Linked DNA regions of Stegostoma tigrinum. The protein of the gene in region 2 purifies or fractionates together with the protein of the main gene of each other region. This does not show direct contact. Links are inferred from orthologs where the notes say so. Each region holds a gene or a part of one and is shown on either strand. Other genes may lie near its edges. The genes, in order: rrs1 and rexo4.

Region 1 (14,255 bases), on a different chromosome or scaffold from region 2:
GGCAATTAGGAATGGGCCAGCCAGGGATGCTCACATCTCATCGATGAGTAAAATAAAGTGCTGGGATAGATTATCTTGGGTGCTGAGAGGGGCATGTTTGAGATGCAATGTACAAGACCATCCAAGTGCTTCAACCACCCAGGTGAGGTCTTTTCACAGTGTCCTAGGAGTAACATTCTCAATCACCCTGTCCACAAATTCCTGTTCCATATAGGGCTTGCTATGGACATTTCCCATCCCTGGCTTATTTCCTTGCCTTCACCCCTCGAATGGGGTGCATTCAGACTGGTGTCACTAAAGTAGGACTTTCCTTTTTCCTCCTTCAATACAGAAATGTTATCATCCAACAATCTGCGGTGCAGTACTGCAATTTCCCTTTATCTGGGGACCAGGTGTTTGAAAGGCAAAGGCAGCCTGAAACAAAAAATGTTCCTCATGATGTTGTCAGCCCTTTGCAGCACCTAGATGAACCAACAGCACGGGGCGGGGGTGGGGTGGGGGGGTCCACGATTAAAGTGGGCGTTGCATTTATTGGGATAACAAGGTTTGTCCATGAACATGATGTGCTGCCCAGCTCAGTTCCAACTAGCACGGGAAGATCACAAATAACAAGTGACATTGGCAATTCTGTCAGCCCTATCCCAATTCTAAGGTGATTTAACAGTGGCAAGTTTGAAAGCACGTAAAGTAACCCGTTCTCAAGGGGTGGGTTTGTGATTTTCTAATTTGAAGTGGAGCTCCATTCCTTCGGCAGCCATTTGATTATAACACTGGTTGTTCAGGTTTCCAAGCATTCAGGAACTTCTCAGATAAAGGGCAGGAGGGCTGCCGGATCTAAAAGCTTATGGTTTATATCACACTCATGGCAGCGCCAGGCAGAACAAGAACGCCACAGCCCCTCAAACAAAACTTCTGCTGTACTGAACAAACTGTCACCTCCTCCCCACACTCCAGTAACACCACATATCCCAGTCACCCCTCCTTCTCAATTCAAAACTCACCGTATGTCAGAGCATCTCCACCCACCCGCAGAGTTTCTCAGTCCCCAGCCTACTCCTGGATTTCCTGCCCAGCAGCTGGCTAATCTGGCAGGCAATGAAGTATAAAGCTAATAATATAGTGGTGCCGCTAAATTTGGCAGAACACAAGAACATAGAACAGTGCAGACCAAAAGAATTGCAGATGCTGTAAATCAGAAACAAAAACAGGATCCATATCCCTCTATTTCCTTTCTATTCATGTATTGGTCCAGCTTCTTGAATGATGCTATTGTATCCCTATTTCTACCACCTCCTCTGGCAGTGCGTTTCAGGCACTCACCACCCTTTGTGTGAAAAACTTGCCTTGCATATCTCTTTTAAACTTCGCACCCCACTCCACACCTTGAACCTGTGTCCCCTAGTAATTAACCCCTCCACCCCTCATAGTTTCCACTCTGTCCATGCCATTCACAATTTTTATAAACTCCAACAGGTCGTACTACAACATGCTGTGTTCCAGTGAAAACAAACCCGGTCTATCCAACCCTTCTTCATAGCTAAATCTCCCTTACCAGGCAACATTCTGGTAAAACTTTACTGTACCCTCTCCAAAGTTTCACATCTTCCCGGTCATGCAGTGACCAGACTATATGCAAAATTCCAAGTGTGGCCTAACTAAAGTTATGTAAAACTGCAGCATAACTTGTCTATCCTCACACTCAACACCCCTTCCATTGAAAACAAGCATGCCATAGGCCCTTATTTATTACCTTCAGTGATCTGTGGACCTACACACCCAAATCCCTCTGCGTATCAATACTCCTAAGGGTTCTGCCATTCACTGTTTAATTTCCACCTGTACTCGACCTTCCAAAATGCATCACATCACATTTGTCCAGATTAAACTCCATCGGCCATTTTTCTGTCCGCACCCCCAACTCGTCCATAAACTGCTGTATCCTCCGACAACCTTCTTCACAATCCGCAACTTCACTAATGTTTGTACAATCTGCAAACTTACTAATTAGACCAGCTACATTTTCCTCCGAATCATTTATGTAGATCACAAACAGCAGAAGTCCCAGCACTGATCCCTGTGGAACATCACTGGTCACAACTCTCCATTCCGAAAAGCATCCTTCCACAGCTACCTGCTTCCGTGTGTTCACAGTATTTCCAGGCCTCCCCCAGCTCTCTTTCCACATCAGCTACCAGCTGGTGCCCAGATTCCCTCCTTGAAACTATCCATTGATTCGAAAAACCAAAGGTTTATCTCCACCATTTGTTGGCAAAGTGCAACTGCATCATAGATATCACGAACATTTATAATCAACATAGACTGGCGCACATCAGTCTCCTTGTAGCTTCAAAACTGCAATACGGTTTCGAAACTGATTTCATTTAATGATTGCTGGCCAGTATTTCTCATTCTTGCTGCCATGTTTCAACTTTTAAAAGCAGTGGTATCAGAGACATCCTGAACCAAACATTTTGCATTATTTATTACCACAATAACATAACAAACAGAGATTATCACTTGGAGTGCATTAATTGAATCTGTGATGCATCAATTATAAGATTTTTAAAAAGCCTCTTCTTCATAGTGGCATTGATTTAGTAAGTTTTTCAGAGAGGTCAACATTGAAGATATCACTACAATAATATTGGTATAATTTTTTTAAAAATAGGAGGACTTTGGAAAAGCCCATTAATGGGAGGGATGTTTCTGATAACTTGTGACTTTCTTCAAAATTTTTCTTAATTCTTATGTTTTTCTAAATATATTTTCAGTAATCCCTTCCCTGTAGCAAAGTTGGCCATGCAGCTAGTTTGCAATAGAGTGACACCATCAGCATGGATTCAGTTCCTACATTGGCTGAGGTTACCATGAAGAACTCGCATTCTCAGTTTCTCCTCTCCCATGGGGTGTGGTGTCCCTCAGGTTAAACTGCTACCAATCACCTCTCTCTTTCTTAGATAACAAGGTGTGGAGCTGGATGAACACAGCAGGCCAAGCAGCATCTTAGGAGCACAAAAGCTGATGTTTCGGGCCTAGACCCTTCATCAGAAAAGGGGGATGGGAAGAGGATTCTGAAATAAATAGGGAGAGAGGGGGAGGCGGACCTCCCTGTTTATTTCAGAATTCTCTCCCCATCCCCCTTTTCTGATGAAGGGTCTAGGCACAAAACGTCAGCTTCTGTGCTCCTAAGATGCTGCTTGGCCTGCTGTGTTCATCCAGCTCCACACCTTGTTATCTCAGATTCTCCAGCATCTGCAGTTCCCATTATCTCTGATACAGTTTGGAATTAGATACCTGTTCCTTCAGTATTGTTGAATTAAACCTCCTTCCCAACTGAGGGAGTACATACAATAAATAAACTGCAGCAGTTCAATAATGAGGTTCATTACCAACGTGTCAGGGACAAGTCGGGATGGACAACAAAGCTGCACTTTCATCCCTTGACAGTAAAATAAACAACTCAATTTCCCTTAGCAAATAAAATAACACCGAGAAAAACAAAACTTTAACTGTGAGTGAGTGTGTGAATCCTGAGATTGGGAATGAGCTAAACAGATAGGCATGTTCAGAAGCCCCCTACTACATGCCTCCTATTATTGTCTGTACATGTGGCTAGTTTCAACCTAAAATGATAAAATATTTATTGCTTACAGCTAATTAATTTTTATGGATGTTTTCTGTAAATTTCAAAGGTCCAGGTTCAAAACAGTGGAGGCTTTCTTTCCATAATAATTAACAATCTTGTTGTATATTACAATCTGGCAAAGTAGTGTTTGCAAAGTGTGTCATACTGAACTGTGAGCTATCTGGGATTTACGAATAGATGGTGGTTTGTCAGGGTTCATGATCACAGTTACTCACTGTAGGCTGTGGATGATTTCGAGCAATTTTCTAATTGTTTATTGAAGTAACAGCAGTTTACAGATAGTACAATATGGGTGTGTGTGCCTTGGGGAGGAGGCGTTTAAGAATGTTTTGGTGGGGGGGTAGGTGGAGGGTAGGAGATGAATGTGGGAAGGGGAAGGGGTTGTGCGGGGTGGGAGGGTGGATGGAGGTGGGGAATGGGTTGTAAACCAAGGGAAGTACGCGGAGGTGGTTGGTGTGGGGTGCTTTGGGGTGTGTCAGGGTAGGTGCTGGGGTATATGAGGGTAAGTTGGAAGGGTGGACAGGGGGTGTGTGGGGGGGGAGGGGGATTGTGAGGCAGATGGGGTGTGTCAGGGTGGGTTCAGTGGGGTGGTGTGGAGGTGGGGTCTATGAGGGGGATCCGTGTGGGGGGAGGGCGGTTGTGTGCAGGGGTGTGGGTGGATTCTATGTGGGAGGATGGGGTGTATGTGGGGGAGGTGGAGTGCATGAGGGTGGGGGGGGGTTGGGGATGTGTGAGGACATAGATTGTGTCAAAGGAAGAGATAGGTGTGTGCGGAGTGGATGTTGTGCATGTATGAGGCAATGGGTGTGGGGTTGTGTGCGGGGAGGGTTGGTGTGGGACTGTGTGCGGGGGAGGGGATGTAGAGGTGTATGTGTGGGGGGTGGATGTGGGGCTATATGGAGGGCAGAGGTTGTAGGGCGGTATGGGGAGCGGGGGGTGTTGGTTGAGTTGTGGGGCTGTGTGGAGACGTGTGAGGGGGTGAGAAGATGTGTTCGGGGAGGGGTTGTGGGTGGGGGATGGGTGTGAGGCTGTGTGTGTGTGTGTGTGTGTGTGTGTATGTGTGTGGATGTGGGTATGCGGGGATTTGTGTAGGTAAGGGTGTGTATGGGGGGTGTATGGGGGTTGTGTGAGGGAGTATGGGGAGAGTGTGTTCGTTGATAGGGGGATGTGGGGGTTGTCTGATGGGGTATGTGTATGTGGGGGGACGGGGTGCGGGCAGGGTGTGTGTGTGGGTGGGGAGATGTGGGAGGTATGTCTGTGGAGGGGTCTGTGTATGTGGGGGGAGGGGTGTGGGGAAGTTGTGTGAGGGGATGTGGGGAGGGTGTGTGAGGGGGTGTGGGGAAGGTGTGTCTGGGAGGTATGGGTGTGTATGTGGGGGGAGGGTGTGTGAGGGGGTGTGGGGAAGGTGTGTGGGTGAGGGTGTGTGTATGTGCGGGGAGAGTGTGTGAGGGGGTGTGGGGAGGTGTGGGTAAGTGTGGGAGTGTATGTGGGGTGAGGGTGGGTGAGGGGGTGTGTGGGTGTGTATGTGAGGGGGGAGTGTGTTGGGGGGGTGTGGGTGTGTATGTGGGGTGAGGGTGGGTGAGGGGGTGTGTGGGTGAGGGTGTGTATGTGGGGGGGAGGGTGGGTGAGGAGGTGTGTTGGGGGAGGGTGTGTGGGGGGTGTGTGTGAGGGGGTGTGGGCAAGGGGGGTGTATGTGAGGGGGTGTGGGTGAGGGGGGTGTGGGTGAGGGGGTGTGGGTGAGGGGGAGGGTGTGTGGGGGGGTGTGGGTGTGGGGGAGGGTGTGTGAGGGGGGTGTGGGTGTGGGGGAGGGTGTGGGTGTGGGGGAGGGTGTGTGAGGGGGGTGTGGGGGTGGTGGGGAGGGTGTGTGAGGGGGTATGTGGGTGAGGGTGTGTGTGTCAGAGGGGGGGTGTGGGTGGGGGGGAGGGTGTGTGAGGGGGGTGTGGATGGGTAGAGGGTGTTTGAGGGGGGTGTGGGTAGGGGGGAGGGTGTGGGAGGGGGGGTGTCGGAGGGGGGGTGTGGATGGGGGGGAGGGTGTGGGAGGGGGGGTGTGGGTAGGGGTGAGGGTGTGGGAGGGGGTTGTCGGTGGGGGGGAGGGTGTGTGAGGGGGGTGTGGGTGGGGGGAGGATGTGTGAGGGGGGTGTGGGTAGGGGGGAGGGTGTGGGAGGGGGGTGTGGGTAGGAGGGAGGGTGTGGGGGGTGTCAGGGGGGGGTGTGGGTGGGGGGGAGGGTGTGTGAGGGAGGTGTGGGTGGGTGGAGGGTGTGTGAGGGGGGTGTGGGTAGGGGGGAGGGTGTGGGAGGGGGTGTCGGAGGGGGGGTTTGGGTGGGAAGGAGGGTGTGTGAGGGGGGTGTGGGTAGGGGGGAGGGTGTGGGAGCGGGGTGTCGGAGGGGGGGTGTGGGTGGGGGGGAGGGTGTGTGAGGGGGGTGTGGGGAGGATGTGTGGGGAGGATGTGTGAGGGGGGTGTGGGTAGGGGGGAGGGTGTGGGAGGGGTGTGTGGGTAGGAGGGAGGGTGTGGGGGGGTGTCGGAGGGGGGGTGTGGGTGGGGGGAGGGCGTGTGAGGGGGGTGTGGGTAGGGGGGAGGGTGTGGGAGGGGGGGTGTGGGTGGGGGGGGTGTGTGTGGGGGGGGTGTGAGTAGAGGGGGAGGGTGTGGAGGGGGGTGTCGGAGGGGGGGGTGTGGGTGGGAGGGAGGGTGTGTGTGGGGGGGGGGGTGTGTGAGGGGGGTGTGGGTAGGGGGGAAGGTGTGGGAGGGGGGGGTGTGGGTGGGGGGGGGGGTGTGTGTGGGGGGGGGTGCGTGGGGGGTGTGAAGAGGATAGGGGTGGGGCGTCTATGTGACGTATTTGTGGGCGGGGTTGATGGTTCCCGCCTGCTGCTGCTCCGGCTGTTGGAGATCACGTGGCGAGCGGTCGCAGATAGTGACGCCAATGAGCAGAGGCGGAAGTGACGGAAGGCGAAGATGGCGGTGGCGGTGGAAGAGCTGGTGGCCGAGGCCGAGCGCTTGATCCGGGTGGACCGGCCTCTGGAGTTGGAGCTGGACCTGGGCAACCTGACGGCGCTGGATGCCAACCCGCTCAATTCGAGCTTGTGCCGGCAGGAGGCCGAGGCTTGGCTGCGCTCCCTTGCCCGGGACAACACGCAGCTGCTGCTTAACGCCGTCTGGCAGCTGCCGAGCGAGAAGCTCCAGGAGGGGATCGTGGCCTTGCTGCCCCCGCCCAGTACCCTCATCCCCCGGGAAAAAGCGGTGCCCAAACCCCGGCCGCCTACCCGCTGGGAGCAGTTCGCCAAACTGAAGGGCATCCGGAAGAAAAAGAAGAGCAACTTGGTGTGGGACGAGAGCAGGAAAGAGTGGCGCCGCCGCTGGGGCTATCAGAGAGCCAACGATGAGACCAAAGAGTGGGTCCTGGAAGTACCCGAGTCCGCTGACCCCAGTGAGGATCAGTTCGCCAAACGTGTCGCGGCTAAGAAAGAGCGAGTGGCCAAGAACGAGCTGAACAGGCTGCGGAACATCGCCAGGGCTCAGAAGCACAAGGTGCCCGGTGTCGGTCTGGCCCCCACCCAGCAACAGAGCAAAGCCGAGCTCAGCAAAGCCATTCGCGTGGCGAGAACCTCCACCGCTTCGGTTGGCAAGTTTCAGGACAAGCTCCCCAAGGAACAGGAGGCGAGGAACACCGGCAAGAGGAGGAAGTTCCAGCCCATCGTCGGAGACTTCTCGGCGGAGAAGCAGAAGCAGCTAGACCTTCTCAATGTTATGTCCAGCAAGAAACCCAAACTGGATCTCACGAAGGCTGTCAATAGACAACTTCGAGAAGACGATCAGGAGCAGGCGGCAAAACGAAAGAAAATGCGGCCTAAGGGCAGGAAAGGAGGGAAAAATCACAATCGAAATAATAGGGGAAAAGGTCAGCATCGGAAATCGGGGATGAAGCAGCAAGGAAAGAGAAAATGAGCCATATTGAACTGTTGTTAAATACGGTGCTCCTTGATTTTAAAGAACATTCTAGTTTTGAGAGGGCCTACCTTTGTTTCTTTATTAATTGTGGCCTGATAATTTCTTGCGTTCTGACAGTTTTTTTGTTTTTCATGAACTTAAAATAAAGTGTTTTGTATTTCTTTTGCTATGTGCATCTGAGTGACTATATGTGATGGGACTTGTGCAGAGAGAGCTTAAATTGTACCTGTGGCCAATTGTTTGTATGGCAGAAAGTTCATTACCAGAATTGTCTAGCCAGCAATCCTGTTGACCACTTTGAAAGGGGATTCATTGAAATTATTTTATGTTGTAAGACACTGCATTATGATTAGCAACACAACTAAATGTTGTTAATCTTTTGGAACAGTAGAGTATGTAAGGAAAGCACCAAACCTTTCAATGTGAGTTGGCAGCTCAGTTCCAGTGTGGAGTGGCCTTTTGTCCTCAGGTTAATTATGTCTATGGTTATTTGAAAATACTTGTAGATGACAACTTTAACTCTCCTCAAAGTAAAGGAGCAAATTACTACAGATGTTGGAATCTGTAACTGGAAACAATAAAATGTTGGAGATCATGGTGGGTCAGGCAGCATCCATGGAGACAGAGCAAGTTAGCATTTCAAATCCAGAGCCTCAAAATAGTCTCTCTCTCTGGAAATCCAGTCCATGAGTTTATAGGTTATGATTTCTATCTCCAACAAATAGAAAGGAAGAACTTGTATTTCTATAGTGCCTGCATATATCATCGGATCAAAACCAGTATATTATTTTTTTAAAAACTGTGAATGCTGTAAATTAGAAACCAAAGCAAAAATTGGTGGAAAAGCTCAGTTGGTCTGTCAACACCTATGGCGAGAAATTGGTGTTAACATTTGGGTCCTTTGATACTTCCTCAGAACTCCAGGACCAAAAGGTTAACACTGATTTCACAAGTTCTGCTAGACCTACTGAGCTTTTCCAGCATTTTCTGTTTTTGACAGTATTTAAGAAATTGTCTTCACCAGTACTGACTGTAGACTGTCGTGTACTCTAAAGGTATTCCTGTTACTAAACTTGACTATAGCGTATCAACTGTTTTTGTAAAGTTGTTTTATTTATCGCTGTAGTACCTCATTTGGAGTTTGGGATTTTTGTTTTACACAAATTGCTTGTGTAGCTGAGTATGCAAATAATATATTCACTGTAAAACCCCTTATAATGCCAAAGGATAATGAGGCAAGTCTTGAAATTTTCAGTTCACTTTTCAGTTCACTTTTCAATTCAGTTACTCCTGAATTGTATCCTTTGGTTGTCAAACATATTTATAAAGCATGAATTGCAGTCTGGGGTTAAAATATTTTGAAGCGCAGCAAGTTTTTCTTTTCTATAAATTATACCATGTGGAAAATTAAGAACTATAGGTAATGTAAACTGACAAAATGCCGGAATACTGTTTCAAAATTAACAGCACACCAGAAGAAAGGTAGCGATGTCCACGTAATTAAAACAGTTCTGTTTAATTTCACACCTGACTCCCTGGTTTACATCTTTTCAATTTTCTGACATTTTGCTTGTTAACCATTTACACAAACTTTTTTCCTCAATGGGATTATAAGCAGGTGAAAGAGCAGACCATTTGAGCCGGCATGGAAAATGAGTATAATCTTCAGAGCTCAATGACAGGGAAGTTTGGTGAATGGGAAAGGAAATGTTTGTTATGGGCCCTTTCCATGCAGTAACGATGGGGTCTCGCTGCACTACAGGGAGAAACGTTGGTTAGTTTCTGGTAAACAGTTGAGATCCACTGTTTTCTTAAAATTTAACATAGCATACAAATTGTCGGTAAGTTAAAATATGTAACGCATCAAATTAATAAAGTGGTTAATTAAATAATTAAAACCCATTAGGAATGATAGGACAAGTGATGTGTGAAAACTACAGTACGTGGGAGTTCCTGGATACCCTTGTGATCTAGGGCATTTGACTTATTGTCACATGTATCAAGATTTGGTGAAAAGTGTTGTTTTGTGTGCTAACCAGACAAATCATAAGTACATCAGGGAAACAGAATTGAATGCAGAGTATAATAGTATAGCTGCAGACAAGGATCAACAGTAATGTATGAGACGTCCATCCATAGTTTGAGCAACTATAGCTGAGATTTTGGACACTAAAGCAGGAAGGGGGAAGGTACCTTGATTCTTTTTCTCAGGAAGCAGTCATGCCATTTGTGATGGGGTCTTCTGACTTGGGAAATGGCCAGGGAGTTGACTCTGAGTGAGGCAGGTAAGAAAACCCAGCATAGGCGTTCAGGAGTGTCAATCTCTGAAAGTATCCATTAGAATCAGCTAGTTTGGCTAACCAACAGAAAGCAGACGATCAAGATAAATTGGTTTTTTCTAATTGGCAAGAGGTAACTAGTGAGTGCCACAGAGTTCGGTCCCCGGGTTCCAACTATTCACAATCAATATTAATAAATTGGATGTGGGGATAGAAAGTAAGATAACCAAATCTGCAGACGACACAAATTGGTGGGAAAGCAAGTTGCAATGTGGGGCAATATAGAATGAGAGGTCATTGTTTTAGGATAAGGGATAACAGTTTGAAAACAGCAATAACTTCTCTCGGAGGGTCATTAATCTGGAATTTGCTCCCAAGAGTGCAGTGGATGCTGAAACATTGAGGAAATTTGAGGAATTAGTAGATTTTTTTGTTAACATTGGGTTGAAGGGTTACAGACAGCAGGCAGGAATCTGGAGTTGAGGCTGAGATGAGATCAGCCATGATCGTATCACATGGTGGAGCAGGCTCAATGGGCTGAATTGCCTTCTCCTGATCGTAGGTCTTGTGTTCTTATGTTCTCTGTAGAGATTACTAAGGCTAGGCACCAGATTTAAAAATCATGACCCCAAAGGTTACAAACTCTGGATTATTAAATGGGCTGTGTGCAAATTGGTATATGGTACATACAATTAGAGAGATGAATATATAGCTCAAAGACTTACGTGGGAGAAGTGCATTCTGGTTCATGGTTCATTGACACTAGTACTGGGGCGAATGCGCACTGTATCATTGGAATGGCCTATACAGGAATTGTACTCTGACCATTCCAAATAACAGAAAGGGTTTTAAACAAAATTATTGGGGTTATGGGATAAAATTTGGTGGGATGTGGTATATCAAATAGTAAAGGCAAGACAAGAAAGGGAAATAGTAATGTGGGAAATGAGGATCAGAGAATGGCAAGAAGGGATTGAGAGAAAAGAAAGGAATATGCCAACAATCAAGATTTTAAAAATGGTAGCAAAGACAAAACTAAAATTTCCAATTCAATGTATATAGCGTTCCTAACAAAGTAAATACATTTATTGTGCTTGTTGAAGTAAAAACCAATGAATTGCTGGCTAAAAAAGCGATGTAGCTGCAGAATGACCAGGCTTGTATCTTGAATATTAACATTCAAGAAGATTAGGATGCAGACAGTAACTGGTTTGCAAATAGGTTCTCTTCTTGAGTCTGTTCACAAGCTGATTTGTGTGCATGTCAGAACACAATGCAGAACAATATAAAATAGGTGTTCATAAGTCAAAGGAAGTGTTGGTATGACAGATCTTTAAAATTAATACAACCCTGTATGAGATTGCATTCGTAAATCGAGGATCACCTGTATTAGGTAAAGGTGGAGGGGTAGCTCTGTTAACCAATAATGATATCTGTGCAGGAATAAGAGATTACTTGATTTAGGAAATTAGGACATAGAATCTCTTTGGGTGGACATACAGAATAGTAGGAGAAGGAAGTCACCAGTGGGGTTGGTCAACAACCCACCATCCCCTGATGATAACCACAGTGTAGAACAAAGCACGCAAAAAGAAATGTTGGGAGATTATGGTAAGGGGATGACAATAATATTGGGTGAGTTTAGACATAAACAGGAAAAAATCAGATTGGTAATAGTAGCTTGGATGATGAGTCCATAAACATAATCTTGAAATCATTCTAAAGCAATGTTTCTCAACCAGCAGGATGTGTCCTACCTGTAGTCATATCTTTATGAACGAGTCTTCCCTGTAATGACAACTATTAGAACCATCTTCAATTTGAAACAGCTCTTTGCTGTTTCAAACATTAAACTGCTCATGTGACGCCCTTTTCAAAAAGGGAGGGAGGCAAAAGGTGGGTAATTATAGGCTGATTAACCTAATATCGATTGCTGGAAAAGTATTGGATTCTATTATTGAGGAAGCAATAGCAGAACATTAGGAAAATCAATTCAATCAGACAGAGTCAGCACAGCTTCATAAAAGGGAGATCATGCCTGTTAAATATACTTGAGTTTTTTGAGGAAGTCTCAAACAGAATGGACTTCCAGAAGGCCTCTGACACCTCACAAAAGGTAAATCATAAGAGCCCCTTGTATTAGAGGTTGTATATTGACATTGATAGGGAATTGGCTCATAGGCAGGAAACAGTGAGAAAGAGTAAGGGGTTCTGGTGACCTGTTAACAGTGGGGATCGACAAGGATCAGTCCTGGAACTGTAACTGCATACAATATGTATCAAAGCCTTGGAGGAAGAAAGTGAATGTACTGTAGCCAATTTCGCAGATGATACTAAAATAGGTGGAAAAGCGGACCACAAGAAGGATACAAACAGTTTACAGAAAGATGCTGACAAGTGAAGTAAGTAAGCAAAATTTTGGCAAATAGAATGAGAAGTAGTTCATTTTGGAAGGGAGAACAGAAGAACAGAATATTGTTTAAATGGAGAAAAACTGCAGAAAGTTGAAACGCAAAAGGGACTCAAGGGGATTTGAGCACAAAACACAGCTAGCACACAGGTGCAGCAGGGAATCTGGAAGTCTAATAGAATGTTGGCCCTTATTTTAAGGGTTTGGAGTAAAAGAGTAGGAAAGGCTTATGAGACCATATCTGGAGTACTGTGAGCAGTTTTGGTCCCTTATTTCAGAAAATATCGTTTCATTGGAGGCAGTTCAGAGAAGGTTCACTAGTCTGATTCGAGATATGGAAGAATCGTCTTGAGCAAATGTTGAACAGGTTGGGGCTCTACTCTCTGGAGTTTAGAAGAACGAGATGATCTCATTGAACCATTTAGGATTCTTAAGGGGCTTGAAAGAGTAAATGCAGAGAGGTTGTTACCCCTCATGGCAGAGTCCAGGACAGAAAGCATAGTCCCAGAATAAAGAAGTGTCAATTTAAGAATATAATGGGGAGGGATTTCTTCTCGAAGAGGGTTGTGAGTCTTTGAACTCATTGCTGTAGAGAGATGTGGGAGCAGGGTTGTTCTGTATAGTTAAGCCTAAGATCAATTCTTGATCAGTCCAGGAATCAAGGGTATGGAGAAAATGCAGAAAGGTGGATGTGAGGAAGGTGGATCAGCCATGATCCTATTGAATGATGGAACAGGCTCAAGAGGCCGAACAACCTGCTCCTGTTCCTATTTCTCACGGTCTTCGTGGCCAAGAATTGACAATCTTGCCAATGAAATGTAACCACAAGCATCATCATTTCATTTCGTTTGGTTTTTGCAATTAAGCAATAGAACATATTCTCAGAAAAACCATTGCAATTTTTTAATGTCTTTAAAATTTTTCGATTAATCGTTAAAACTAAAATGCAAAGAAGTGCACGAAAATGTGAAAACCTCTCAAAGTGCCTGATATAGCCAAGCCAAGTGGTGCGGTCGAGGCAAACAAAAACAGAAATTGCTGGAGGAACTCGGGAGGTCTGACAGCATCCGTGGAGAGAGAAGCAGTACTCAAGAACTGGAAAGGTTTACTTTGTACAGACGCTGCCGGGCCTGTTGAGTTTGACCAGCAATTTCAGTTTGTGTTTGTTTCAGATCTCCCGCATCAGCTGCTGTTTGTTTTATTTAAGTCGAGTGGGCTCCTGCTTTAAAATTCTGTGCTTTTGGTTTGTTCTGCGCTTTTCTGGATACCAATAAACGTTGCTGGACTTAAAAAAGAAACGCAACAACAGGAATGAGGAAATGTCTATTTTGTGGGAAATTTAGTGTTCCCATCCCAGAGTTCTCCACTGTCTGAGAGACATGGCAGGTCGAGACAGAGTTACCCAGTTGTTGAAGCAGCTGCAACGGGCGTCGTAAGTGAGCAAATCAAAAGGAAATAACAGTTTCTCTTTAGTAGAATGTCAGTGCAGCCGATCTTTCCGTTGTTTAGATGCATTTGCCAATAGCATTGAGCCTGTTGGCCGATCAGTGTCTTGAGTGTCAGTCGGTCTCTATGGAACAGGGGCGCCACTGAATTCGGAATCAGTTCGGAACAGACCGAGCCCTTAGCCGGTGCTGGCTAGCAACAAGGCCAGCAAATTATATCTGTCGGTGCTCAAGGACGCCGCCGGCTTGGCAATGTTCTCCAGCAATATTCCCTGTGACTGCAGTCACTCATCATGATCCACACTTGCATCGTTTGCTGGAAATCCTTATTAAATAGCTGCAACACCTCTGTTACTCTCTCACTCCGGGCCTGATTTATTCTGTACATCAGTGAACCCAGCGTGCTTTCTGGCTGTCAAATTCAACGGTGAATTATCGTACCCAAAAAACCCCTAAAAACAGCAATTTTAAACCGTGAATGAAAGCTTATAATTAGCAATTGAAATGCCATTAGTGAAATGTCACAAACAGG
Region 2 (14,320 bases):
ACCCTCCGACAGTGCCCGCTCCCTCAGCACTGACCCTCCGACAGTACCCGCTCCCTCAGCACTGACCCTCCGACAGCCCGCTCCCTCAGCACTGACCCTCCGACAGCGCCCGCTCCCTCAGCACTGACCCTCCGACAGCGCCCGCTCCCTCAGCACTGACCCTCCGACAGTGCCCGCTCGCTCAGCACTGACCCTCCGACAGTGCCCGCTCCCTCAGCACTGACCCTCCGACAGCGCCCGCTACCTCAGCACTGACCCTCCGACAGCGCCCGCTCCCTCAGCACTGACCCTCCGACAGCGCCCGCTCCCTCAGCACTGGCCCTCCGACAGTACCTCCTCCCTCAGCACTGACCATCCAATAGTGCCCGCTCCCCCAGCACTGACCCTCCGACAGTGCCCGCTCCCTCAGCACTGACCCTCCAACAATGCGGCGCTCCCTCAGCACTGACCCTCCGACAGTGCCCGGTCCCTCAGCACTGACTGTCCGACAGTGCCCAGTCACTCAGTACTGACCCTCCGACAGTGCGGCAGGCCCTCAGCACTGACCATCCGACAGTGCCCAGTCACTCAGCACTGCCCCTCCCACACTACCTCATCCCTCAGCACTGACCATCCAATAGTGCCCGCTCCCTCAGCACTGACCCTCCGACAGCACCTGCTCCCTCAGCAGTGACCCTCCGATAGTGCGGCACTTCCTCAGCACTGACCCTCCAATAGTGCCCGCTCCCCCAGCACTGACCCTCCGACAGTGCCCGCTCCCCCAGAACTGACCCTCCGACAGTGCCCGCTCCCTCAGCACTGACCCTCCGACAGTGCTGCGCTCCCTCACCACTGACCCTCCGACAGTGAGGCACTCCCTCAGCACTGACTCTCTGACAGTGCCCGCTCCCTCAGCACTGACCCTCCGACAGTGCGGCGCTCCCTCAGCACTGACCCTTCGACAGCGCCCGCTCCCTCAGCACTGACCCTCAGACAGCGCCCACTTCCTCAGCATTGACCCTCCGACAGCAACCGCTCCCTCAGCACTGACCCTCCGACAGCGCCCGCTCCCCCAGCACTGACCCTCCGACAGTGCCCACTCCCTCAGCACTCACCCTCCGACAGTGAGGCACTCCCTCACTACTGACCCTCCGACAGTGCCCACTCCCTCACCACTGACCACCCGACAGCGCCCACTCCCTCAGCACTGACCCTCCAACAGTGCCCACCCCCGCAGTACTGACCCTCCGACAGTGCGGCAGTCCCTCAGCACTGACCGTCCGACAGTGCCCAGTCACTCAGCACTGACCCTCCACACTACCTCCTCCCTCAGGACTGACCATCCAATAGTGCCCGCTCCCTCAGCACTGACCCTCCGACAGCCCATGCTCCCTCAGCACTGACCCTCCGACAGTGCGGCACTTCCTCAGCACTGACCATCCGATAGTGCCCGCTCCCCCAGCACTGACCCTCCGACAGTGCCCGCTCCCTCAGCACTGACCCTCCAACAGTGCGGTGCTCCCTCAGCACTGACCCTCCGACAGTGAGGCACGCCCTCACTACTGACCTTCCGACAGTGCCCACTCCCTCTGCACAGACCCTCCGACGGTGCCCGCTCCCCCAGCACTGACCCTCCGACAGTGCCCGCTCCCCCAGCACTGACCCTCCGACAGTGCCCGCTCCCTCAGCACTGACCCTCCGACAGTGAGGCACGCCCTCACTACTGACCCTCCGACAGTGCCCACTCCCACTGCACAGACCCTCCGACGGTGCCCGGTCCCCCAGCACTGACCCTCCGACAGTGCCCACTCCCCCAGCACTGACCCTCCGACAGTGCCCGCTCCCTCAGCACTGACCTCCAACAGTGCGCTGCTCCCTCAGCACTGGCCCTCCGACAGTGAGGCACTCCCTCACTACTGCCCCTCGACAGTGCCCACTTCCTCAGCACTGACCCTCCGACAGCACCCGCTCCCTCAGCACTGACCCTCCGACAGTACCCGCTCCCTCAGCACTCACCCTCCAACAATGCCCACTCCCTCAGTACTGACCCTCCGACAGTGCGGCGCTCCCTCAGCACTGACCCTGCGACAGTGAGGCAGTCCCTCAGCACTGACCGTCCGACAGTGCCCAGTCACTCAGCACTGACCCTCCCACAGTACCTCCTCCCTCAGCACTGACCATCCAACGGTGCCCGCTCCCCAGCACTGACCCTCCAACAATGCGGCGCTCCCTCAGCACTGACCCTCCGACAGTGCCCACTCCCTCAGCACTGACCCTCCGACAGCGCCCACTCCCTCAGCACTGACCCTCCGACAGCGCCCACTCCCTCAGCACTAACCCTCCGACAGTGCGGCACTTCCTCAGCACTGACCCTCCGACAGCGCCCGCTCCCTCAACACTGACCCTCCGACAGCGCCCGCTCCCTCAGCACTGACCATCCATTAGTGCCCGCTCGCCCAGCACTGACCCTCCGACAGTGCCCGCTCCCTCAGCACTGAAACTCCGACAGTGAGGCACGCCCTCACTACTGACCCTCCAACAGTGCCCACTCCCTCACGACTGATGCTCCGACAGCCCCCAGTCCCTCAGAACTGACCCTCCGACAGCGCCCACTCCCTCAGCAATGAGCCTCCGACAGTGCCCGCTCCCTCAGCACTGACCCTCCGATAGTGCGGCACTCCATCAGCACTCACCCTCCGACAGTGAGGCACTCCCTCACTACTGACCCTCCGACAGTGCCCACTACCTCACCACTGACCACCCGACAGCGCCCACTCTCTCAGCACTGACCCTCCGACAGTGCGGCGCTCCCTCAGCACTCACCCTCCGACAGTGAGGCACTCCCTCACTACTGACCCTCCGACAGTGCCCACTCCCTCACCACTGACCACCCGACAGCGCCCATTCCCTCAGCACTGACCCTCCAACAGTGCCCACTCCCTCAGTACTGACCCTCCGACAGCGCCCGCTCCCTCAGCACTGACCGTCCGACAGTGCCCAGTCACTCAGCACTGACCCTCCACACTACCTCCTCGCTCAGCACTGACCATCCAATAGTGCCCGCTCCCTCAGCACTGACACTCCGACAGCGCCCGCTCCCTCAGCACTGACACTCCGACAGCGCCCGCTCCCTCAGCACTGACCCTCCGACAGCGCCCGCTCCCTCACTACTGACCCTCCGACAGTGCCCACTCCCTCACCACTGACCACCCGACAGCGCCCATTCCCTCAGCACTGACACTCCGACAGCGCCCGCTCCCTCAGCACTGACCCTCCGACAGCGCCCGCTCCCTCAGCACTGACCCTCAGACAGTGCCCGCTCCCTCAGCACTGACCCTCCGACAGCGCCCACTTCCTCAGCACTGACCCTCCGACAGCCCCCGCTCCCTCAGCACTGACCCTCCGACAGTGCCCGCTCCCTCAGCACTGACCCTCCGACAGCACCCACTTCCTCAGCACTGACCCTCCGACAGCACCCGCTCCCTCAGCACTGACCCTCCGACAGCGCCCGCTCCCTCAGCACTGACCCTCCGACAGTGCCCACTCCCTCAGCACTGACCCTCCGACAGTGCGGCACTTCCTCAGCACTGACACTCCAATAGTACCCGCTCCCCCAGCACTGACACTCCGACAGTGCCCGCTCCCTCAGCACTGACCCTCCAACAGTGCGGTGCTCCCTCAGCACTGACCCTCCGACAGTGAGGCATGCCCTCACTACTGACCCTCCGACAGTGCACACTCCCACTGCACAGACCCTCCGACAGTGCCCGCTCCCCAAGCACCGACCCTCCAACAGTGCCCACTCCCTCAGCACTGACTCTCCAACAGTGCCCACTTCCTCAGCACTGACCCTCCGACAGCACCCGCTCCCTCAGCACTGACCCTCCGACAGTACCCGCTCCCTCAGCACTGACCCTCCGACAGCGCCCGCTCCCTCAGCACTGACCCTCCGACAGTACCCGCTCCCTCAGCACTCACCCTCCAACAATGCCCACTCCCTCAGTACTGACCCTCCGACAGTGCGGTGCTCCCTCAGCACTGACCCTCCGACAGTGAGGCACGCCCTCACGACTGACCTTCCGACAGTGCCCACTCCCTCTGCACAGACCCACCGACGGTGCCCGCTCCCCCAGCACTGACCCTCTGACAGTGCCCGCTCCCTCAGCGCTGACCCTCCAAAGGTGCCCGCTCCCAAAGCACTGACCCTCCGACAGTGCCCGATCCCTCGGCACTGACCCTCCGACAGTGCCCGCTCCCTCAGCACTGACCCTCAGACAGCGCCCACTTCCTCAGCACTGACCCTCCGACAGCACCCGCTCCCTCAGCACTGACCCTCCGACAGCGCCCGCTCCCTCACCACTGACCCTCCGACAGTGCCCGCTCCCTCAGCACTGACCCTCCGACAGCACCCGCTCCCTCAGCACTGACCCTCAGACAGTGCCCACTTCCTCAGCACTGACCCTCCGACAGCACCCGTTCCCTCAGCACTGACCCTCCGACAGCGCCCGCTCCCACAGCACTGACCCTCCGACAGCGCCCGCTCCCTCAGCACTGACCCTCAGACAGTGCAGCACTCCCTCAGCACTGACCCTCCGACAGCGCCCGCTCCCTCAGCACTGACCCTCCGACAGCGCCCACTCCCTCAGCACTAACCCTCAAACAGTGCCTGCTCCCTCAGCACTGACCCTCCGACAGTGCCCGCTACCTCAGCACTAACCCTCCGACAGCGCCCGCTCCCACAGCACTGACCCTCCGACAGCGCCCACTCCCTCAGCACTAACCCTCAAACAGTGCCCGCTCCCTCAGCACTGACCCTCAGACAGTGCAGCACTCCCTCAGCACTGACCCTCCTACAGTGCCCTCTCCCTCAGCACTGACCATCCAATAGTGCCCGCTCCCCCAGCACTGACCCTCCGACAGTGCCCGCTCCCTCAGCACTGACCCTCCAATAGTGCCTGCTCCCCCAGCTCTGACCCTCCGACAGTGCCCACTCCCTCAGCACTGACCCTCCAACAGTGCAGCACTCCCTCAGCACTGACCCTCCGACAGTGAGGCACGCCCTCACTACTGACTCTCCGACAGTGCCCACTCCCTCACTACTGACGCTCCGACAGCCCCCAGTCCCTCAGAACTGACCCTCCGACAGTGCCCACTCCCTCAGCAATGAGCCTCCGATAGCGCGGTACTTCCTCAGCACTGACCCTCCGACAGCGCCCGCTCCCTCAGCACTGACCATCCAATAGTGCCTGCTCCCCCAGCAATGACCCTCCGACAGTGCCCTCTCCCTCAGCACTGACCATCCAATAGTGCCTGCTCCCTCAGCACTGACCCTCCGACAGCGCCCGCTCCCTCAGCACTGACCCTCCGACAGCGCCCGCTCCCTCAGCACTGACCCTCAGACAGTGCAGCACTCCCTCAGCACTGACCCTCCGACAGTGCCCGCTCCCTCAGCACTGACCCTCCGACAGTGCGGCACTTCCTCAGCACTGACCCTCCAACAGTGCCCACTCCCTCAGTACTGACCCTCCGACAGTGCGGCGCTCCCTCAGCACTGACCCTGCGACAGTGAGGCAGTCCCTCAGCACTGACCGTTCGACTGTGCCCAGTCACTCAGCACTGGCCCTCCGACAGCGTCCGTGCCCTCAGCACTGACCCTCCGACAGTGCCCGCTCCCTCAGCACTGACCCTCCGACAGCGCCCACTTCCTCAGCACTGACCCTCCGACAGCGCCCGCTCCCTCACCACTGACCCTCCGACAGTGCCCGCTCCCTCAGCACTGACCCTCCGACAGCGCCCACTCCCTCAGCACTAACCTTCAAACAGTGCCCGCTCCCTCAGCACTGACCCTCCGACAGCGCCCACTCCCTCAGCACTAACCTTCAAACAGTGCCCGCTCCCTCAGCACTGACCCTCAGACAGTGCAGCACTCCCTCAGCACTGACCCTCCTACAGTGCCCTCTCCCTCAGCACTGACCCTCCTACAGTGCCCTCTCCCTCAGCACTGACCATCCAATAGTGCCCGCTCCCCCAGCACTGACCCTCCGACAGTGCCCGCTCCCTCAGCACTGACCATCCAATAGTGCCTGCTCCCCCAGCACTGACCCTCCGACAGTGCGGCGCTCCCTCACTACTGACCCTCCGACAGTGCCCACTCCCTCACTACTGACGCTCCGACGGCCCCCAGTCCCTCAGAACTGACCCTCCGACAGTGCCCACTCCCTCAGCAATGAGCCTCCGATAGCCCGGTACTTCCTCAGCACTGACCCTCCGACAGCGCCCGCTACCTCAGCACTAACCCTCCGACAGCGCCCGCTCCCTCAGCACTGACCCTCCGACAGCGCCCACTCCCTCAGCACTAACCCTCAAACAGTGCCCGCTCCCTCAGCACTGACCCTCAGACAGTGCAGCACTCCCTCAGCACTGACCCTCCTACAGTGCCCTCTCCCTCAGCACTGACCATCCAATAGTGCCCGCTCCCCCAGCACTGACCCTCCGACAGCGCCCGCTCCCTCAGCACTGACCCTCCGACAGTGCCTGCTCCCTCCGCACTGACCCTCCGACAGTGCCCGCTCCCTCCGCACTGACCCTCCGACAGCGCCCGCTCCCTCAGCACTGACCCTCAGACAGCGCCCACTTCCTCAGCACTGACCCTCCGACAGCACCCGCTCCCTCAGCACTGACCCTCCGACAGCGCCCGCTCCCTCACCACTGACCCTCCGACAGTGCCCGCTCCCTCAGCACTGACCCTCCGACAGCGCCCTCTCCCTCAGCACTGACCCTCCGACAGCACCCGCTCCCTCAGCACTGACCCTCCGACAGCGCCCGCTCCCTCAGCACTGACCCTCAGACAGTGCAGCACTCCCTCAGCACTGACCCTCCGATAGTGCGGCACTCCCTCAGCACTGACCCTCCGACAGTGCCCACTCCCTCAGCAATGAGCCTCCGATAGCGCGGTACTTCCTCAGCACTGACCCTCCGACAGCGCCCGCTCCCTCAGCACTGACCCTCCGACAGTGCCCGCTCCCTCCGCACTGACCGTCCGACAGTGCCCGCTCCCTCAGCACTGACCCTCCGACAGCGCCCGCTCCCTCAGCACTGACCCTCCGACAGCGCCCGCTCCCTCAGCACTGACCCTCAGACAGCGCCCACTTCCTCAGCACTGACCCTCCGACAGCACCCGCTCCCTCAGCACTGACCCTCCAACAGCGCCCGCTCCCTCAGCACTGACCCTCAGACAGTGCAGCACTCCCTCAGCACTGACCCTCCGACAGTGCCCGCTCCCTCAGCACTGACCCTCCGACAGTGCGGCACTTCCTCAGCACTGACCCTCCAACAGTGCCCACTCCCTCAGTACTGACCCTCCGACAGTGCGGCGCTCCCTCAGCACTGACCCTGCGACAGTGAGGCAGTCCCTCAGCACTGACCGTCCGACTGTGCCCAGTCACTCAGCACTGACCCTCCGACAGCGTCCGTGCCCTCAGCACTGACCCTCCGACAGTGCCCGCTCCCTCAGCACTGACCCTCCGACTGCGCCCGCACCCTCAGCACTGACCCTCCGACAGTGCCTGCTCCCTCAGCACTGACCCTCCGACAGTGCCCGCTACCTCAGCACTAACCCTCCGACAGCGCCCGCTCCCTCAGCACTGACCCTCCGACAGCGCCCACTCCCTCAGCACTAACCTTCAAACAGTGCCCGCTCCCTCAGCACTGACCCTCCTACAGTGCCCTCTCCCTCAGCACTGACCATCCAATAGTGCCCGCTCCCCCAGCACTGACCCTCCGACAGTGCCCGCTCCCTCAGCACTGACCATCCAATAGTGCCTGCTCCCCCAGCACTGACCCTCCGACAGTGCGGCGCTCCCTCACTACTGACCCTCCGACAGTGCCCGCTCCCTCAGCACTGACCCTCCGACAGTGCCCACTCCCTCAGCAATGAGCCTCCGATAGCCCGGTACTTCCTCAGCACTGACCCTCCGACAGCGCCCGCTCCCTCAGCACTGACCCTCCGACAGTGCCCGCTCCCTCAGCACTGACCCTCCGACAGTGCGGCACTTCCTCAGCACTGACCCTCCAACAGTGCCCACTCCCTCAGCACTGACCCTCAGACAGTGCAGCACTCCCTCAGCACTGACCCTCCGACAGTGCCCGCTCCCTCAGCACTGACCCTCCGACAGTGCGGCACTTCCTCAGCACTGACCCTCCAACAGTGCCCACTCCCTCAGTACTGACCCTCCGACAGTGCGGCGCTCCCTCAGCACTGACCCTGCGACAGTGAGGCAGTCCCTCAGCACTGACCGTCCGACTGTGCCCAGTCACTCAGCACTGACCCTCCGACAGCGTCCGTGCCCTCAGCACTGACCCTCCGACAGTGCCCGCTCCCTCAGCACTGACCCTCCGACTGCGTCCGCACCCTCAGCACTGACCCACCGACAGTGAGGCACTCCCTCACTACTGACCCTCCGACAGCCCCCACTCCCTCACTACTGACCCACCGACAGTGCCCACTCCCTCAGCACTAACCCTCCGACAGTGCCCACTCCCACAGCACTGACCCTCCAAAGGTGCCTGCTCCCAAAGCACTGACCCTCCGACAGTGCCCAATCCCTCAGCACTGACCCTCCGACAGTGCCCGCTCTCCCAGCACTGAACCTCCGACAGTGCCCTCTCCCTCAGCACTGAACCTCCAACAGTGCGGCGCTCCCTCAGCACTGACCCTCCGACAGTGATGCACGCCCTCACTACTGACCCTCCAACAGTGCCCACTCCCTCACTGCTGACGCTCCGACAGCCCCCAGTCCCTCAGAACTGACCCTCCGACAGCGCCCACTCCCTCAGCAATGAGCCACCGATAGTGCGGTACTTCCTCAGCACTGACCCTCCGACAGCGCCCGCTCCCTCAACACTGACCCGCCGACAGCGCCCGCTCCCTCAGCACTGACCCTTCGACAGTGCAAACTCCCTCAGCACTGACCCTGCGACAGCGCCCACTCCCTCAGCACTGACCCTCCGACAGTGCCCGCACCCTCAGCACTGAACCTCCGACAGCGCCCACTCCCTCAGCACTGACCCTCCGACAGTGCCCGCACCCTCAGCACTGACCCTCCGACAGTGCCCGCACCCTCAGCACTGACCCTCCGACAGTGTCCGCTCCCGCAGCACTGACCCTCAGACAGCGCCCTCTTCCTCAGCACTGACCCTCCGACAGCAACCGCACCCTCAGCACTGACCCTCCGACAGCGCCTGCTCCCTCAGCACTGACCCTCCGACAGTGCCCCCTCCCTCAGCACTAACCCGCCAACAGTGCCCCCTCCCTCACACTGACCCTCCGACAGTGCCCCCTCCCTCAGCACTGACCCTCCGACAGTGCCCGCTCCCTCAGCACTGACCCTCCGACAGCGCCCGCTCCCTCAGCACTGACCCTCCGACAGCGCCCGCTCCCTTAGCACTGACCCTCAGACAGCGCCCACTTCCGCAGCACTGACCCTCCGACAGCGCCCGCTCCCTCAGCACTGACCCTCCGACAGTGCCCGCTCCCTCCGCACTGACCCTCCGACAGTGCCCGCTCCCTCCGCACTGACCCTCCGACAGCGCCCGCTCCCTCAGCACTGACCCTCCGACAGTGCGGCACTTCCTCAGCACTGACCCTCCAACAGTGCCCACTCCCTCAGTACTGACCCTCCGACAGTGCGGCGCTCCCTCAGCACTGACCCTGCGACAGTGAGGCAGTCCCTCAGCACTGACCGTCCGACTGTGCCCAGTCACTCAGCACTGACCCTTCGACAGCGTCCGTGCCCTCAGCACTGACCCTCCGACAGTGCCCGCTCCCTCAGCACTGACCCTCCGACAGTGCCTGCTCCCTCAGCACTGACCCACCGACAGTGAGGCACTCCCTCACTACTGACCCTCCGACAGCCCCCACTCCCTCACTACTGACCCACCGACAGCGCCCACTCCCTCAGCACTAACCCTCCGACAGTGCCCACTCCCACAGCACTGAACCTCCGACAGTGCCCTCTCCCTCAGCACTGACCCTCCGACAGTGCGGCGCTCCCTCAGCACTGACCCTCCGACAGTGAGGCACGCCCTCACTACTGACCCTCCAACAGTGCCCACTCCCTCACTGCTGACGCTCCGACAGCCCCCAGTCCCTCAGCACTGGCCCTCCGACAGCGCCCGCTCCCACAGCACTGACCCTTCGATAGTGCCCACTCACTCAGCACTGACCCTCCGACAGTGCGGCACTTCCTCAGCACTGACCCTCCAACAGTGCACACTCCCTCAGTACTGACCCTCCGACAGTGCGGCGCTCCCTCAGCACTGACCCTCCGACAGTGAGGCAGTCCCTCAGCACTGACCGTCCGACTGTGCCCAGTCACTCAGCACTGACCCTCCGACAGCGCCCGCTCCCTGAGCACTGACCCTCCGACAGCGCCCGCTCCCTCAGCACTGACCCTCAGACAGCGCCCACTTCCTCAGCACTGACCCTCCGACAGCACCCACTCCCTCAGCACTGACCCTCCGACAGCGCCCGCTCCCTCAGCACTGACCCTCAGACAGTGCAGCACTCCCTCAGCACTGACCCTCCGATAGTGCGGCACTCCCTCAGCACTGATCCTCCGACATCGCCCACTCCCTCAGCACTAACCCTCAAACAGTGCCCGCTCCCTCAGCACTGACCCTCCGACAGTGCCCTCTCCCTCAGCACTGACCATCCAATATTCCCCTCTCCCCCAGCACTGACCCTCCGACAGTGCCCGCTCCCTCAGCACTGACCCTCCGACAGTGCCCTCTCCCTCAGCACTGACCATCCAATAGTGCCTGCTCCCCCAGCAATGACCCTCCGACAGTGCCCTCTCCCTCAGCACTGACCATCCAATAGTGCCTGCTCCCTCAGCACTGACCCTCCGACAGCGCCCGCTCCCTCAGCACTGACCCTCCGACAGCGCCCGCTCCCTCAGCACTGACCCTCAGACAGTGCAGCACTCCCTCAGCACTGACCCTCCGACAGTGCCCGCTCCCTCAGCACTGACCCTCCGACAGTGCGGCACTTCCTCAGCACTGACCCTCCAACAGTGCCCACTCCCTCAGTACTGACCCTCCGACAGTGCGGCGCTCCCTCAGCACTGACCCTGCGACAGTGAGGCAGTCCCTCAGCACTGACCGTTCGACTGTGCCCAGTCACTCAGCACTGGCCCTCCGACAGCGTCCGTGCCCTCAGCACTGACCCTCCGACAGTGCCCGCTCCCTCAGCACTGACCCTCCGACAGCGCCCACTTCCTCAGCACTGACCCTCCGACAGCGCCCGCTCCCTCACCACTGACCCTCCGACAGTGCCCGCTCCCTCAGCACTGACCCTCCGACAGCGCCCACTCCCTCAGCACTAACCTTCAAACAGTGCCAGCTCCCTCAGCACTGACCCTCCGACAGCGCCCACTCCCTCAGCACTAACCTTCAAACAGTGCCCGCTCCCTCAGCACTGACCCTCAGACAGTGCAGCACTCCCTCAGCACTGACCCTCCTACAGTGCCCTCTCCCTCAGCACTGACCCTCCTACAGTGCCCTCTCCCTCAGCACTGACCATCCAATAGTGCCCGCTCCCCCAGCACTGACCCTCCGACAGTGCCCGCTCCCTCAGCACTGACCATCCAATAGTGCCTGCTCCCCCAGCACTGACCCTCCGACAGTGCGGCGCTCCCTCACTACTGACCCTCCGACAGTGCCCACTCCCTCACTACTGACGCTCCGACGGCCCCCAGTCCCTCAGAACTGACCCTCCGACAGTGCCCACTCCCTCAGCAATGAGCCTCCGATAGCCCGGTACTTCCTCAGCACTGACCCTCCGACAGCGCCCGCTACCTCAGCACTAACCCTCCGACAGCGCCCGCTCCCTCAGCACTGACCCTCCGACAGCGCCCACTCCCTCAGCACTAACCCTCAAACAGTGCCCGCTCCCTCAGCACTGACCCTCAGACAGTGCAGCACTCCCTCAGCACTGACCCTCCTACAGTGCCCTCTCCCTCAGCACTGACCATCCAATAGTGCCCGCTCCCCCAGCACTGACCCTCCGACAGCGCCCGCTCCCTCAGCACTGACCCTCCGACAGTGCCTGCTCCCTCCGCACTGACCCTCCGACAGTGCCCGCTCCCTCCGCACTGACCCTCCGACAGCGCCCGCTCCCTCAGCACTGACCCTCAGACAGCGCCCACTTCCTCAGCACTGACCCTCCGACAGCACCCGCTCCCTCAGCACTGACCCTCCGACAGCGCCCGCTCCCTCACCACTGACCCTCCGACAGTGCCCGCTCCCTCAGCACTGACCCTCCGACAGCGCCCTCTCCCTCAGCACTGACCCTCCGACAGCACCCGCTCCCTCAGCACTGACCCTCAGACAGCGCCCACTTCCTCAGCACTGACCCTCCGACAGCACCCGTTCCCTCAGCACTGACCCTCCGACAGCGCCCGCTCCCTCAGCACTGACCCTCAGACAGTGCAGCACTCCCTCAGCACTGACCCTCCGATAGTGCGGCACTCCCTCAGCACTGACCCTCCGACAGTGCCCACTCCCTCAGCAATGAGCCTCCGATAGCGCGGTACTTCCTCAGCACTGACCCTCCGACAGCGCCCGCTCCCTCAGCACTGACCCTCCGACAGTGCCCGCTCCCTCCGCACTGACCGTCCGACAGTGCCCGCTCCCTCAGCACTGACCCTCCGACAGCGCCCGCTCCCTCAGCACTGACCCTCCGACAGCGCCCGCTCCCTCAGCACTGACCCTCAGACAGCGCCCACTTCCTCAGCACTGACCCTCCGACAGCACCCGCTCCCTCAGCACTGACCCTCCAACAGCGCCCGCTCCCTCAGCACTGACCCTCAGACAGTGCAGCACTCCCTCAGCACTGACCCTCCGACAGTGCCCGCTCCCTCAGCACTGACCCTCCGACAGTGCGGCACTTCCTCAGCACTGACCCTCCAACAGTGCCCACTCCCTCAGTACTGACCCTCCGACAGTGCGGCGCTCCCTCAGCACTGACCCTGCGACAGTGAGGCAGTCCCTCAGCACTGACCGTCCGACTGTGCCCAGTCACTCAGCACTGACCCTCCGACAGCGTCCGTGCCCTCAGCACTGACCCTCCGACAGTGCCCGCTCCCTCAGCACTGACCCTCCGACTGCGCCCGCACCCTCAGCACTGACCCTCCGACAGTGCCTGCTCCCTCAGCACTGACCCTCCGACAGTGCCCGCTACCTCAGCACTAACCCTCCGACAGCGCCCGCTCCCTCAGCACTAACCTTCAAACAGTGCCCGCTCCCTCAGCACTGACCCTCAGACAGTGCAGCACTCCCTCAGCACTGACCCTCCTACAGTGCCCTCTCCCTCAGCACTGACCCTCCTACAGTGCCCTCTCCCTCAGCACTGACCATCCAATAGTGCCCGCTCCCCCAGCACTGACCCTCCGACAGTGCCCGCTCCCTCAGCACTGACCATCCAATAGTGCCTGCTCCCCCAGCACTGACCCTCCGACAGTGCGGCGCTCCCTCACTACTGACCCTCCGACAGTGCCCGCTCCCTCAGCACTGACCCTCCGACAGTGCCCACTCCCTCAGCAATGAGCCTCCGATAGCCCGGTACTTCCTCAGCACTGACCCTCCGACAGCGCCCGCTCCCTCAGCACTGACCCTCCGACAGTGCCCGCTCCCTCAGCACTGACCCTCCGACAGTGCGGCACTTCCTCAGCACTGACCCTCCAACAGTGCCCGCTCCCTCAGCACTGACCCTCAGACAGTGCAGCACTCCCTCAGCACTGACCCTCCGACAGTGCCCGCTCCCTCAGCACTGACCCTCCGACAGTGCGGCACTTCCTCAGCACTGACCCTCCAACAGTGCCCACTCCCTCAGTACTGACCCTCCGACAGTGCGGCGCTCCCTCAGCACTGACCCTGCGACAGTGAGGCAGTCCCTCAGCACTGACCGTCCGACTGTGCCCAGTCACTCAGCACTGACCCTCCGACAGCGTCCGTGCCCTCAGCACTGACCCTCCGACAGTGCCCGCTCCCTCAGCACTGACCCTCCGACTGCGTCCGCACCCTCAGCACTGACCCACCGACAGTGAGGCACTCCCTCACTACTGACCCTCCGACAGCCCCCACTCCCTCACTACTGACCCACCGACAGTGCCCACTCCCTCAGCACTAACCCTCCGACAGTGCCCACTCCCACAGCACTGACCCTCCAAAGGTGCCTGCTCCCAAAGCACTGACCCTCCGACAGTGCCCAATCCCTCAGCACTGACCCTCCGACAGTGCCCGCTCTCCCAGCACTGTACCTCCGACAGTGCCCTCTCCCTCA

What was found.
Region 1: the proteins of rexo4 (region 2) and rrs1 purify together in Homo sapiens (co-immunoprecipitation; 3 studies listed by BioGRID and IntAct, with this or other methods). This does not show direct contact. The link is inferred for Stegostoma tigrinum from reciprocal best matches to the Homo sapiens genes REXO4 and RRS1.

Annotation. Positions count from the first base shown.
Region 1 is NC_081358.1:31,719,253-31,733,507, reverse strand, and holds rrs1 (ribosome biogenesis regulatory protein homolog), read left to right. Parts: upstream 1-6,500; 5' UTR 6,501-6,596; coding exon 6,597-7,586; 3' UTR 7,587-9,113; downstream 9,114-14,255. Other genes in the region: adhfe1 (hydroxyacid-oxoacid transhydrogenase, mitochondrial), read left to right, coding at 13,658-13,710. UniProt on the Homo sapiens protein: Involved in ribosomal large subunit assembly. May regulate the localization of the 5S RNP/5S ribonucleoprotein particle to the nucleolus.
Region 2 is NC_081382.1:43,858,846-43,873,165, forward strand, and holds the start of rexo4 (RNA exonuclease 4), read right to left. Parts: upstream 5,785-14,320; 5' UTR 5,729-5,784; intron 5,681-5,728; exon of another isoform or gene 5,633-5,680; intron 3,352-5,632; exon of another isoform or gene 3,315-3,351; intron 9-3,314; exon of another isoform or gene 1-8.